Arabidopsis thaliana: one gene and its partners. The protein of the gene in region 1 interacts with the protein of each later gene in a pairwise test. Each region holds a gene or a part of one and is shown on either strand. Other genes may lie near its edges. The genes, in order: AT5G66480, AT3G60590 and IRX15-L.

Region 1 (5,080 bases):
ACCGCTCCGATGATGAGTATTAGGCGTGTGTCCAAGCTCCTCCATCTCATAATCGTCGAGCAACGCCATGTTTCTGTCCGGTTTCATGCTCAGGGAGAGAAGACTGGCTTCGTCGACGATATCGATCTCCACTTGTTCTTCATCATCTTCTAATTGTGCTTGCTCAACCTCCATTTCGCTGAAGCTTCGTTGCCTAATCCATAGCTTCTTCGAGGAGGAGAGTTCCGTCCGGCCATAGCTAGTGGTACTGTTGTGCGCCTGGAGATGTGATTTGGTAACTCTCCGCCGACTATAGATACGATACGGAGAGAAATTAGGGTTTTCAACAACGGAAGTAGAGAAGAATTTGTAGCGGGAAAGAGTAGGCGAAATATGCGGAGAGACCGCCATTGTTGGACTTGGTTTTTCAAATTGATAGCTCTCACTGGTTGGTTTTTCCTCACAGGTGCTTTCTTTAGTGATTAGCGAAGGAACCAAATATGATCTTCATACGACGCCGTTTCAGAATTTGTTATTTCCACTTACACCCCTTGTTAAATATAATTCCCATTTCAACCGCCTTTATTTTTCTTTACCCAGTTACCCCCCTCGTTAAATTTAAGAACCAACATAACAAAAGCAAGAATCAGGCACGGAACTTCTGGCTAATAATAACATTGCAAGTCAATAAGCGACACAAACAGAACCAAATTGGTATGACCTTGATCGTATGAAGCTGAGTTATGTCGTCATCATGAATGTTCTATACATTCTCTAGAAAAGGTTAAAACAAAACCCATTTTCCTATTTTTATTCACAAGGCCTGAAGCTTTGATTCAACCTCATTATGAATCTTTTGGAGACAGCTGAGGTTGAGCTTCATCTGATGATAACATTCCGGGAGGAAGGTACGACCAGGCCAAGACTCCACTCCCGAGTGTGATGGTTGCAGCTATTGATCCCCAAATCCACCTCTGCCTCCTCTTTCTCTTTTGCCCGTCTCGCCTTGCCACCTCTGATATCAAAGAGAGTTGAAGCATTGAGATAAAGAAAAATAAGATAAGACATTCTTGTAAATTTAACTTGAGTTTCTTCTACCTATGGCCTCTTGGTTGCGCTGGGACATTTCCTGGTTCACAGTCTCGTAATAATGAAGACGGTCAGACAACCGGGTGATTTCAAAGTTCTTAGCTTCGAGCTCAGCTTCCATCTCCATCTCTACCTCTGTCTTGGCCAAGTCACTGCCTAGTGTGTCGGAGACAAACCTGGTGACCTCAAGTTGACAACGTAGCTCATCAGCTAGGTTCATGCTGTATTGGCTTCTGGTGGGATCAAGAGGAAGGAACATACCCACATCGGCCAACTGGTCACGGAGCCTCCGCCAATGAACTTGCATTTGCTCTAGAGTCGCCTCTGCCTGCCTCCTCCTTTCGATTTCCATTAGTAAACCCAATCTCATCTCCCTTACCTCAGATTCAATGTTGTTAGCTGAACTCTGCATTCCACTGTCAGTTGATAGTTCTGGAAGCCAAGAAACAGTAACTGAATAAATTAAAACCAGTTTCTTAGATATACCAGTGAATCATGCATGCAGATTTTCTATGTCTTTGGAAATCTGATTCATAACTATCACGAATTCAAGATGACTATAAACACAGGAATCCCAAGCCTAAAAGGCCACTTCACAACCAAAATCACATACTGATATATGCATATAACACTTAAAACTAAAGGAGAAGAGGCTCCAAGAACTGGCAAAAAGTGATGATGCTAGAAATGTCAGACATCATAAGAATTTTCTAGCTATCTCGTGGTTAAAAAAGTTAGTAGGAAGAAACAGTACCATCGCAAGCATCATAAAACTCTCCAACATGTGTAGCAAGACTGTGTGAGCTTTCAGCTCTCTCGAAATCTTCTACCTCTGTGTTACTTGTGAAGCTTACTAATTCACCTGGGTTATAGAAATTTTCAGGCTCAAGCTCCTTGTCTGCTTTTATTCTTACCGGCTCCAATAAGTAACTTTGCCATTCTAAATTACTGGTAGCATTATTACTTCCAATCCCACCATTGCTGATATCTCTTCCCGACTTCTCGTTCAAAAATGTCCCAAGAGGGGGACTGCAATCCCAAACAGGACGTTCATGGATGCCTTGGGTGTGAACACCATTGGTGTGATCCACCGCAATAGCCTCGGTGATAGGAAATGATAGGGATGTGGACTTGCTCAAGGAGGCAGTAGCCTCCACATCTACATTACCACTAATCTTTTCCTCACCAGAGGTTATCGGGTGAGAAGGCCCATCCACCTCAGAGTCCCTATTGAAAAGAACAGGCCCACGAGCTTTGTGATTGATGATATAGGGAGATGGAGGGTAGGAAGAAGGCGAATTGGGATGAGGGATTTCTTTAGTAGTGGCATATAGAGAAGGTGACATCTGAGGACGAGTGAATGTCTTTTCTTTAGGTTGCTTACTTTCATCATTCAAAATAGACGGCTTTGACTGCAGTGTGCTTGGAAATTTACTAGATAAGGACGTCCCTGAATTTAGTGATCTACCCAAAGCGGCAGCAGAAAATGTAGGCATGACTCTGCATCATTGAAGATTTCAATTAGAAATCCACCAATAGGGATACACAACAGCGAGAGAGCGTTGTTCAACTAATAAAGTAATGAACATCGAGAGAGTCGATAACGGATAAACAAAAATCCAAATCAATGTCAAGCAATTAATAACCTATACAAACAAGCTAACAATCTGAGAGTTCAATTTCGGGAAGGAGCAAACCATAGAGTGCGAGATTATCAAACTAATCATTCAACATCAAGTAGCCTAAACTAAATTTAACAGAGATTATCACGGAACCAAGACCTTAATCATCAAATCGAACAGTCAGCAGCTAGCAAAATCACTCGATAGAAATAGTTACCTCGCGACAGAGCATCAATCGGAGAAGACGAAACGAAAAGATCAACGCAGACGGAGGAAGAAGAGACGATCGATTGATGGTAGATTGATATGACATGGTGCGAAAAAAGAGCAAACAGAGATTAGATATATACTGAGGAGGAGAGAAAAAAGAGAAACCTCTTCTCCAAGGCTTTAGTCGCAACAAACTCTTAATTTAAACCTCTTCACCAAGGCTTTCATTCGCAACGACCGCGTATCACGCTGGGTTTTGGGGAATCACCGGAACGGCTGCGTTTTGATGGGGTTTTGTATGTTTAGTGACGTGGCATCTCCTGGTGTTTCGGGTAGGCTTTTGTAGTCATCAGGGGCCCCACTGTGTTTATTCGTAAATTTGTAAACCCAGTCTGATTACTGATAACAAGTAATAAACCGAGAATTTTTCTTACTATCAAACTGTAAACTTAAATTACATGGATTTGTCCACAAAGAAGCAGAATCATGGCTTATGGACGAGCTTTCTACTTTGATGTATGTATGTATTCATCCTTCTTATTCAAATAGAAAGGTATATCACAAATCGAAAATAAATATAAACAACCTCTGTGAAATCTCTTTCTCCGATCTATCTGTAATATATGGCAGGTCCATTTGAAGTGTTATCCCAAACACCTCCTTCCTTGACATACTCCAAGTACCTAGCGAATTCTGGTTTTGCAGTCGTCGTGCTCTTCTTCTTCTTCTTCCTCTTTAGACTCATTTCGAAGAAACTAAATAGAGGGTGAGCCGAACCCCTGGTTTTCTCCACCGGTTTATTCACCTTCGGGGATTGACCATGGGGATTTGTAGGAACGCTCTCCGGTTTCACTTCTAAAAGCCCTGCGCCTGCTTCTTCTTCGTCGCCGAGCTTCTTGTAGCTGCCTCGAACCTTCCTCGTGCTCAGCGCTCTAATCATTATTTCTTGTGGTTTTGATCAATTCTCTCTGGTGATATGTTTTTAAGAAAGGATAGATTTTGAAAAGGACACATCTTTTGACTTCTCTTCTCCTTATCCCAACGACTCCTTTAACTTAAACCTTATGTGACATTGCCCTTTCACCTACTACTATTCGTGGGTCAATGCTACTTTATTTTTGACTATGTCTTCTTTGGTGTTTGACTTAATTAGGACAACGAGACAGTTCCACAACAATGCTTTAGACTTTAGTGGACTTGCTCTGTTTCTTGACACAAAAACAGTAGCTCAAGTGTAGTGTAATGCTGAAAAAACAAAGCAATTCATATGAATAAGCTGTGTCCTGCTGTTTTAACCAAACCTTTATTCTTCAGTTTTCCTCTCAATTCTTCAACGACATCCCACTTCCCCATCGCTGCATAGAAATTCGAAACCAACACATAAATGCTCGCGTTCTCTGGACCCGTCTCTTCCATAAGCCTCCTTGCTACATATTCGCCTCGCGTAAGATCCATATTAAGACTACAAGCACTGAGTACCGCTACCCATATAGCACAAGGAATGCTTTGATTATCGTTCTCCATCATTCTCTCGACTAATCTCCATATCTCTTCTGTCTCACCAGCCTTGCTTAAGATATCGATGAAGCATACGTAATGCTCTGTTCCAGGAACCAACCGATACTTCTCCTTCATCATACCAAAACATTCCTTACCTTCTTTAACTAGTCCTGCGTGTGCACAAGCCGATATAACAACAAGAAATGTCACTGAATTCGGTAAAACTCCGCTTCCTTCTTCACACATTTCCCTGAAGATTTCAAGAGCTTTAACCCCATCCCCATTAACCGCATACGCATCTATCATACTCGTCCAAGAAACCACACTTTTAGATGGAATAGCTCTGAAAATAGTACGCGCTTGCACAATCTGACCGCATTTTCCATACATATCCATTAAGCCATTGCATAGCTTAGAATCTGAAACGAAACCATTACGTAAAGCGACACAGTGTATCTGTTTACCAATCCACAGATCAGAGTTATCAGAGCAGCCAGCAAGAGAGCTACTGAGCACTCTCACATTGGGTCTCTGCCTACTCATAAGCAGAAACGCTTCCTTGTAATTTCGGTTTCGAATGCAACCTGATATCAAAGAATTCAACATCACCTCGTCCGTATGAACATTCAAACTGTTATAAACCTTCATGGCTTCATTGATCAAACCTACACTCGAGTAAA
Region 2 (3,678 bases), on another chromosome or scaffold:
AAAGAAACCTCTAATAATGACTCACTAAAGACAACCACCGTTATCTCTCAACAAGTCAACATAGAAAAAGTTTCAATACAAGATTCTATTTGGAAAACCAACTCGTTTGTTAGAAATTTACATTAGTTATCGAGAACAAATGTATATATATATATATATATATATTAATTTGAAAAAGAAAAAAAAAAAAAACAGTGACTCCCACGTAATACGCTAAAGCTTAAATGGTCAACTGATTCATAAAGTAACTTTCAAGAACATTAACCGCTTTGAATTACGACTTACATTGTGACTCAAATAACTGAATCAATTGATTAATGGATAACGTGTACATGCTTTAATACTTGGACCAGTTAAAATTCTAGTAGATACGATCAGTGACATGAAATGATAAAAGTTTTCAAAATGAAAAAAAAACGACAACAAAATAACAGAAGTGGCAAGAAAAAGGTCTGTAATATACTAATATAGGTAAAAAGATAGAGATACCAAACGGTATTAATTTTTTCTGATAAACAAAATATGTGGTACATTATGGATACGATAAAAAAAAAAGTCATCATCAATCAAAAAAAAAAAAAAAGTTTAATGAACAGTCAACTAAATCGGACAGCTCTCTAATATATACTTTTACCTGTCTTATTGTTCCCATACCCCAAACTAGACTAATTAGAACTTGTTTTAATAGTAAAATTCAAGTTTTTGTCTTGCAGTTTTCTTTCGAGTCTCAAGTTCAAAAGGACTAAAACGGAGGAAAAGATGCATGCTTCTCAAAATTCCGTCTCTGTCCTGTTTTCTTGAAGTCACGTCTCAACTCTCAAAGTCTCCTTTCCCAAACCCTAAATTCTTAGTGTACCAAGCGCAAAATCGTTTCAAAATACCCTTTTTGTAATAAAAAAAAAATGTATGCATAAATGAAAAATAAAATAATACAAAATCATGAATTAAATCATAGTAAGAGATTCCAAATTAAAAGAAAACAAAAACTCATAAGTAACTTTTTACATGATCCATTCTGATTGTAAATCTCGATTATGAATTAGTGCAATACAAAAGTTGGTAGCCAAACAAATGGTTTCAATAAGTCTGGTTTTTGGATAGTGTCGTGACTTGGTAAAGTAACATTTCACTAGATTTGCTTGTCCGAAGCCAATGAGAATGACTCACTTTTACATTTCTGTTCACACCATCATTATTATCAAAATCTCGTTATCATTGTTACTACCATTCCATACGTACCTTTAATCCATACGACCAAAATAATGCATAAACTCCCTGCAGGGACAAAGAGACGTCGGAAAGTACGAGATTAGACCACTCCAACTGCCAAAAGAACTACGCGGGCTAAGACGTTTCATTTGGCAGTGACAAAAACAACGTCAACGGTGAACAGTGCCACCATGGCCATCGTCTTAGCTTTTTGAAGACACGTAAATCCTCCTTATCAAAAATTATAACAAAATATAAACATAAGCTACCGATCTATAGTGGGCTTTTTAAAAAGGATGGGCCGACTATTCAAGTTATCAACACGTCGTCGTATAATCATAGTAGCTCTTTGTATTTTTGTTCCGGACATGATTATCTTAGTATCCAAACACGTCACATTCAAGTTTATTCTAAAGATTTTTCTCTCCGGAGACGTTAAGAGAAGAAACAGCCAACGGATTAGGGATCTTACCGTTCTGCGATTCGCCGGTGAGTGTTTTTATTTTATTTTTCCGATTTCATATCGGCTTCTTACTCTTTAATTCGATTTCCTTATATGTTATCGTGATTACCTTCCCGAGAATTCATGGTAAAATTGATCGGTATATATTTTGATAATCGACTTCAATTTGGTTTATCCCTCCTTATGCTTAATTGCTTCACTTACCGGTTTTGATTCTGACTTGTATTGATTTGATATCGATTATCCGGTTTAGTAGCTTCAAGTGTTTCCCCTGTGTCCATGTATCGTCTTGGTCCTGATGATTTTGAAATGTTCTGTTTTGTTTGTTTATGTTAAGAACAGAGTTTGAAGCTTTTTTTAGAGACTTCAATGGTGAGCCAAGGAATGGTATCTCTTACAAAGTCTCTATGCACTATGACTCCAAGAGTCCGTCTCAAGAATCCGAATATGTTGCAGAAACTAAAGACTGGATCTTGTAATTTCCGTTTCAGAAATCTCCGTGTCTTATGCACACCAAAGCTGTCTCAGTGGGAACCGTCACCTTTCATTCATGCTTCTGCAGAAGAAGCTGCTGATATAGTATTGGACAAAACCGCGAATGTGTTCGAATCTATTGTCTCCGAGAGTGCAGAGGAAGAGAAAGTAGATATGTCAGCGCAACAACGAACTAATTCTCAAGTTCAGGTACTTAAATGGCCAATATGGCTTTTGGGTCCATCTGTTCTCCTCACAAGCGGTATGGCGCCTACTTTATGGCTTCCGTTGTCATCGGTTTTTCTCGGTTCCAACGTGGTTAGTCTACTTTCTTTGATCGGTCTAGATTGCATTTTCAATCTTGGAGCAACCCTTTTCCTCTTAATGGCTGATTCTTGCGCACGTCCTAAAGACCCATCACAGTCCTGCAACAGCAAACCACCATTTAGCTATAAGTTCTGGAACATGTTTTCACTCATAATCGGGTTTCTAGTCCCAATGTTACTTCTCTTCGGATCCCAATCTGGCCTTCTCGCTTCTCTCCAGCCCCAGATTCCTTTCCTCTCGTCCGCTGTTATCCTCTTCCCGTACTTCATTCTCCTTGCTGTTCAGACATTAACAGAGATCCTCACATGGCACTGGCAATCACCGGTCTGGCTAGTCACACCAGTTGTCTACGAGGCTTACCGAATCTTGCAACTGATGAGAGGGTTGACACTTAGTGCAGAGGTCAACGCACCGGTTTGGGTGGTTCATATGCTTCGTGGGCTTGTCTCTTGGTGGGTATTGATCTTGGGAATGCAACTCATGAGAGTTGCTTGGTTTGCTGGTTTTGCATCTAGAACAACAACAGGTCAGCAACCACAATCTGTTGCTTCTAAGTAAAGACAGATAAATGTTTCTTCGTTTAGTTTTTAAAGTCATGTCAAAGATTTGTAACTCTTTCTTCACTGTATAGCTTTTATTATTCGTGGGTTGGTGATAAGGATTAAAAAAAAACACATATTCTTTATGATCATATTCGCTCTTTTAGTTAGGTATGTGATGTTATTCATTTCAATATTAAAGGCTGATAGGTTGACGTTAAGGTTGAGAATATGCAAAGGTTGACACAGATTCCTGTCAAAGAAAGACATTTAAGAATTTACGAAAAATGATGAAAATGTTTCTCTTAAGAAAGTAGAGCATAATGTCGAATAAGACTAGTTTATATGGTTTTGTATTTTTACTAAGTCATGTCAGAAAGAAGAAGAAAAATATATGTACTGTGTTATAGCCTTATAAGTAATAGGTTTTTGCATTTGGTGAGTACTTGGTAACAGTAAAAAAAAGAAAGTTATACGTTACGTTGTGAAATATGATCAGATTATAATGTATATTCTTTACTTTAGTTGAATTGTTGTTGTTGTAATTCATCTCCACGCGTTTGCGATTAGGGCGCGTTTGCGTTTTTATCAATTTTAAATGAATTGACAGTATTACCCTTGAGAAATGAACAAGACAAATAGCGATGTCCCACTCTATTCATTAGC
Region 3 (3,708 bases), 270 kb from region 1:
GAACCATGCATTTTCTACAAAAGAGTTTTGTTTAACCGATGCGGTCAAAATTATGTTTTCCAAGAAAAATAGCATTGGGGGACTGAGAGTCACGCGCTGAGTGAAGCGGGTGAGAATCAGCGTCTGGAGCCTTTACATAAGCGACGGCTTGAGCAAGTCCGTGAGTGGCTATAGCCGTTACTGATTGGTCCGTAGGAAATGACTAGACTCGTAGCCAAGCATGTGTGGTCCTTTTTTTTGTTTTTAATTTGTCAACCTTACTTGTCCTTTTTACTCTTTAATTAAAAAAACAAAAAATCAAAATAGCGACGTTTTATTTCTCAAAACAAAAAATACATAGTTAACGGAAATTATGTGGAAGAAATGGTGAGAGTTATTGACACTGTGACAAAAAGTATGGAGAGTTTCTACAGATTTGTACGATTTTGGGTCCAATCACAATAAAAACTCATTGTTCCCACTCTTCTATGTTTTTTTAATATTCACTTTGCTTGATGCACTTTCTTTATAAAAAGATTCAAGATAAGCAAAGCGTGCTGCTTTAGTAGTGACACGAAAACAGCATCTCCACTCTCCATTAGCGTCATTTCCTTAAACATTGAGTTTCAACTTTAAGGATTACAATAAGTATTCACTGTTTCTTTATATAACAAAAGGTTAAAAGTGTGGTGGCTATACGGAGAAAACTAAGCTAAAGTGATTTTTGACTTCATTATTTGTAAATAAGATCTAAAACGAAGCACCCACCATTTCTTTCTTTAGAGGCTAATATGTGTGTGTCACTTTAAAATGTAATTATTTCAGCATATAAATGGCTAATCCTCTGATATAAGAATGTACATAGGGTCTATAGAGACTTTTAGCATCAAACCTGGAATCTGTTATGTACCACACTAAAGCCCAAATAAAAATAGACCTTGTTCAACGGGCCCAAATCAGGTGGATTTCAGTAAGAGAGTCCTTTTGAGGCAAAAGCAGAGTCCATCACCATGTGAAGTACATAATTTTGACGTTATAATACTTAAACCATTTGAAGTTGGTTTCATCACATAAAAAGTACATAATTTTATCTAGCATAACTGTTTGGGTTAATACCATCAACTTAGTTTAGGCGAATTTTGTATCACCTACTTATATTTTCCTAGTTTAGATGAAATAATGTTTGTTTTTAATTGTTTAATATTAGTATAAGATAATAATAATAATATTGTAATGCATAGTTTTAAATATAATTCCTTAGGAAAGAAGTCAACGAAGAAGAAGAAGGGACAAAGACTTGTGGCCTGTAATTAGTTATGGTGTCACTTTGCAGTAACCAAAACGCCGACACCTCTCTTCCCTCTCTTCTTCATTTCACCAGCTCCATGCATATACGGTACAACCAACCACCTCTATTCTAATCCCAAACACCCTCCCCTCTTTTCTTTACACTTTTCTTATTAAACTTTATAACCAATACAAACATTTGGTGTTTTGTTTTTTTGTATTCTTCCCAACTAACTCCAAAACGTATGATTGTAGTTTAGGACTTGATTGATTTATAGTTCACAATTTATAACCGTAAAAACCAGTCAACAGCATTTTAACCCTTACACTTTTTACTCTCAAAAAGTACATGATTAAGATCTGTCACTTTCACTCTTTTAAAATTTACCAGACGCTTATTTTGATTTACGGTGATTTGTTAATTAGGTAATATCCGTGTTAGATAAATGTTATTTTCTAAGTTGTATTAGAGAGATGTCGCCTTCAGAAATCTCCCACACGAAGCTAAATTTTGGAAATAATTAATAAGATTCCAGAGCAAATTAGTCTTCTAGAATATAATAAATACTACTATACATTATAATACCTCTACCACATTTGTGACGTCGTCGTCAGTCTCTGATAGGTTTGAGTTCATATATTTCCTTTTTAATACTTCTCAAAACCAAAACACTTTTGTTTTTAAAACAGAGTCATCCTCTTCGTCTTCTTTCTCTGACCAAAACAGAGCGAAAAGCAAAAATGAAAAGTGGAGGGAACACAAACACTAAACTCATACTTGTTCATCCATACATTCAAAAGCAAACAAGCACAAATCGTCTATGGCTTCTCGCTTTCGTTTCTTTCTTCACAATCGCTTTTCTCCTAACTCTTCTCTACACCACCGACTCCATCATCTCTTCTAAAAACAACTCCGCCACCGTCTCCTCCGCCGTCAATTCTGCCGTCACCACCGCTACCATCTCTCAGTTACCAACAACAGCCATCAATGCAATGCTTCACTACGCTTCAAGATCAAACGACAGCTACCACATGTCATACGGAGAGATGAAATCAATCTCCGACGTCCTCCGCCGCTGCTCTCCGCCGTGTAATCTCTTAGTCTTCGGTCTTACACACGAAACCCTTCTCTGGAAATCGCTAAACCACAACGGGCGTACAGTTTTCATCGAAGAGAATCGTTACTACGCTGCTTACTTCGAAGAAATCCACCCGGAGATCGAAGTCTTCGATGTTCAGTACACGACCAAAGCTCGTGAGGCGCGTGAGCTTGTGTCGGCGGTTAAAGAAGCGGCGAGGAACGAGTGTCGTCCAGTGCAGAATCTTCTCTTTTCAGATTGTAAATTAGGACTCAATGATTTGCCGAATCATGTATACGATGTTGATTGGGATGTGATCTTAGTTGATGGACCACGTGGCGACGGTGGAGATGTACCGGGGAGGATGTCGTCGATTTTCACGGCGGCGGTTCTTGCTCGGAGTAAAAAAGGCGGGAATCCGAAGACGCATGTGTTTGTTCATGATTATTACAGAGATGTTGAGAGACTTTGTGGGGATGAGTTTCTTTGCCGGGAGAATCTTGTGGAATCTAATGATCTGCTTGCGCACTACGTGTTGGAGAAGATGGATAAAAACAGCACGCAGTTCTGTCGTGGTCGTAAGAAGAAACGCTCTGTTTCTTCTCCATCGGCTTGAGTTAAATGTGCGCTAAAATCTTGTGGACTGTGGAGAGTCAAACCAACCGACACGACGGTGGTCATTGACACCGTCAATCGCGGAAGGAGTTTGTGTAAAATAATACGTTTTTCTACCTTTAAATATTTTTTCCTGCTTTTTAAACTATGTGAAAATTCAATCAGATCAATTAAAATTTCAAAATATCTCTTCGAGGTACAACAATTCGTTTAAAATACCACTATAGTATTTGGATACTGATGATTTGGTGTTACAACATAAATGATAAAACCCAATGAATCAAGAACGTATAGTTTCAACTCTCTAAACCCTTTGTGGAGAGTCTTGTGGAGTCAGAGTATCTATCTTCTTTTTCTTGTAGAGTGGAACTCTTCCTCCAAGCTCTCTTAGCTGATCCACAAGTCCGTATAGAAACTCAAACGTCAATATGTTTTGAGCATTAAGTTGCTCTCTAACTTGTGGATGAATTCTAAACCATTCTCCCAACATCTTATGAACGTGAGATCGAATCATCCTCCATGGAACCGGATGCTTCTCACACAGCTTTAAATACTCAACAACTAAATCTCCCTGGTCTAACCCTCCATCGACGAATCCCTCTTCTTCGTTATCTTTTGCCCATTCAGCTGTTCTAAACCCAGCAAAGGCCGCCGGGTTTTCAAGAAGCGTCTCCGCAGAGAGAACACCTTCAACACCCGTCTCTTTGATGCAGTTATCGACATCTTCGATGCATCTTACATTCCCATT

Evidence for each region.
Region 2: the proteins of AT5G66480 (region 1) and AT3G60590 interact in a two-hybrid assay, tested with the Arabidopsis thaliana proteins (one large-scale study listed by BioGRID).
Region 3: the proteins of AT5G66480 (region 1) and IRX15-L interact in a two-hybrid assay, tested with the Arabidopsis thaliana proteins (one large-scale study listed by BioGRID).

What each region holds. Positions count from the first base shown.
Region 1 is NC_003076.8:26,543,913-26,548,992, forward strand, and holds AT5G66480 (bacteriophage N4 adsorption B protein), read right to left. Parts: upstream 3,089-5,080; 5' UTR 2,908-3,088; intron 2,569-2,907; 5' UTR 2,565-2,568; coding exon 1,823-2,564; intron 1,501-1,822; coding exon 1,078-1,500; intron 995-1,077; coding exon 825-994; 3' UTR 629-824; downstream 1-628. Other genes in the region: AT5G66470 (GTP-binding protein Era-like protein), read right to left, coding at 3-390; AT5G66490 (uncharacterized protein), read right to left, coding at 3,511-3,840; AT5G66500 (Tetratricopeptide repeat (TPR)-like superfamily protein), read right to left, coding at 4,164-5,080.
Region 2 is NC_003074.8:22,396,723-22,400,400, forward strand, and holds AT3G60590 (cytochrome P450 family protein), read left to right. Parts: upstream 1-1,505; coding exon 1,506-1,698; intron 1,699-2,009; coding exon 2,010-3,031; downstream 3,032-3,678.
Region 3 is NC_003076.8:26,817,012-26,820,719, forward strand, and holds IRX15-L (IRREGULAR XYLEM protein (DUF579)), read left to right. Parts: upstream 1-1,937; 5' UTR 1,938-2,007; coding exon 2,008-2,961; 3' UTR 2,962-3,146; downstream 3,147-3,708. Other genes in the region: AT5G67220 (FMN-linked oxidoreductases superfamily protein), read right to left, coding at 3,265-3,708. UniProt on the Arabidopsis thaliana protein: Required for xylan biosynthesis, but not directly involved in catalyzing the addition of sugars to the growing polymer.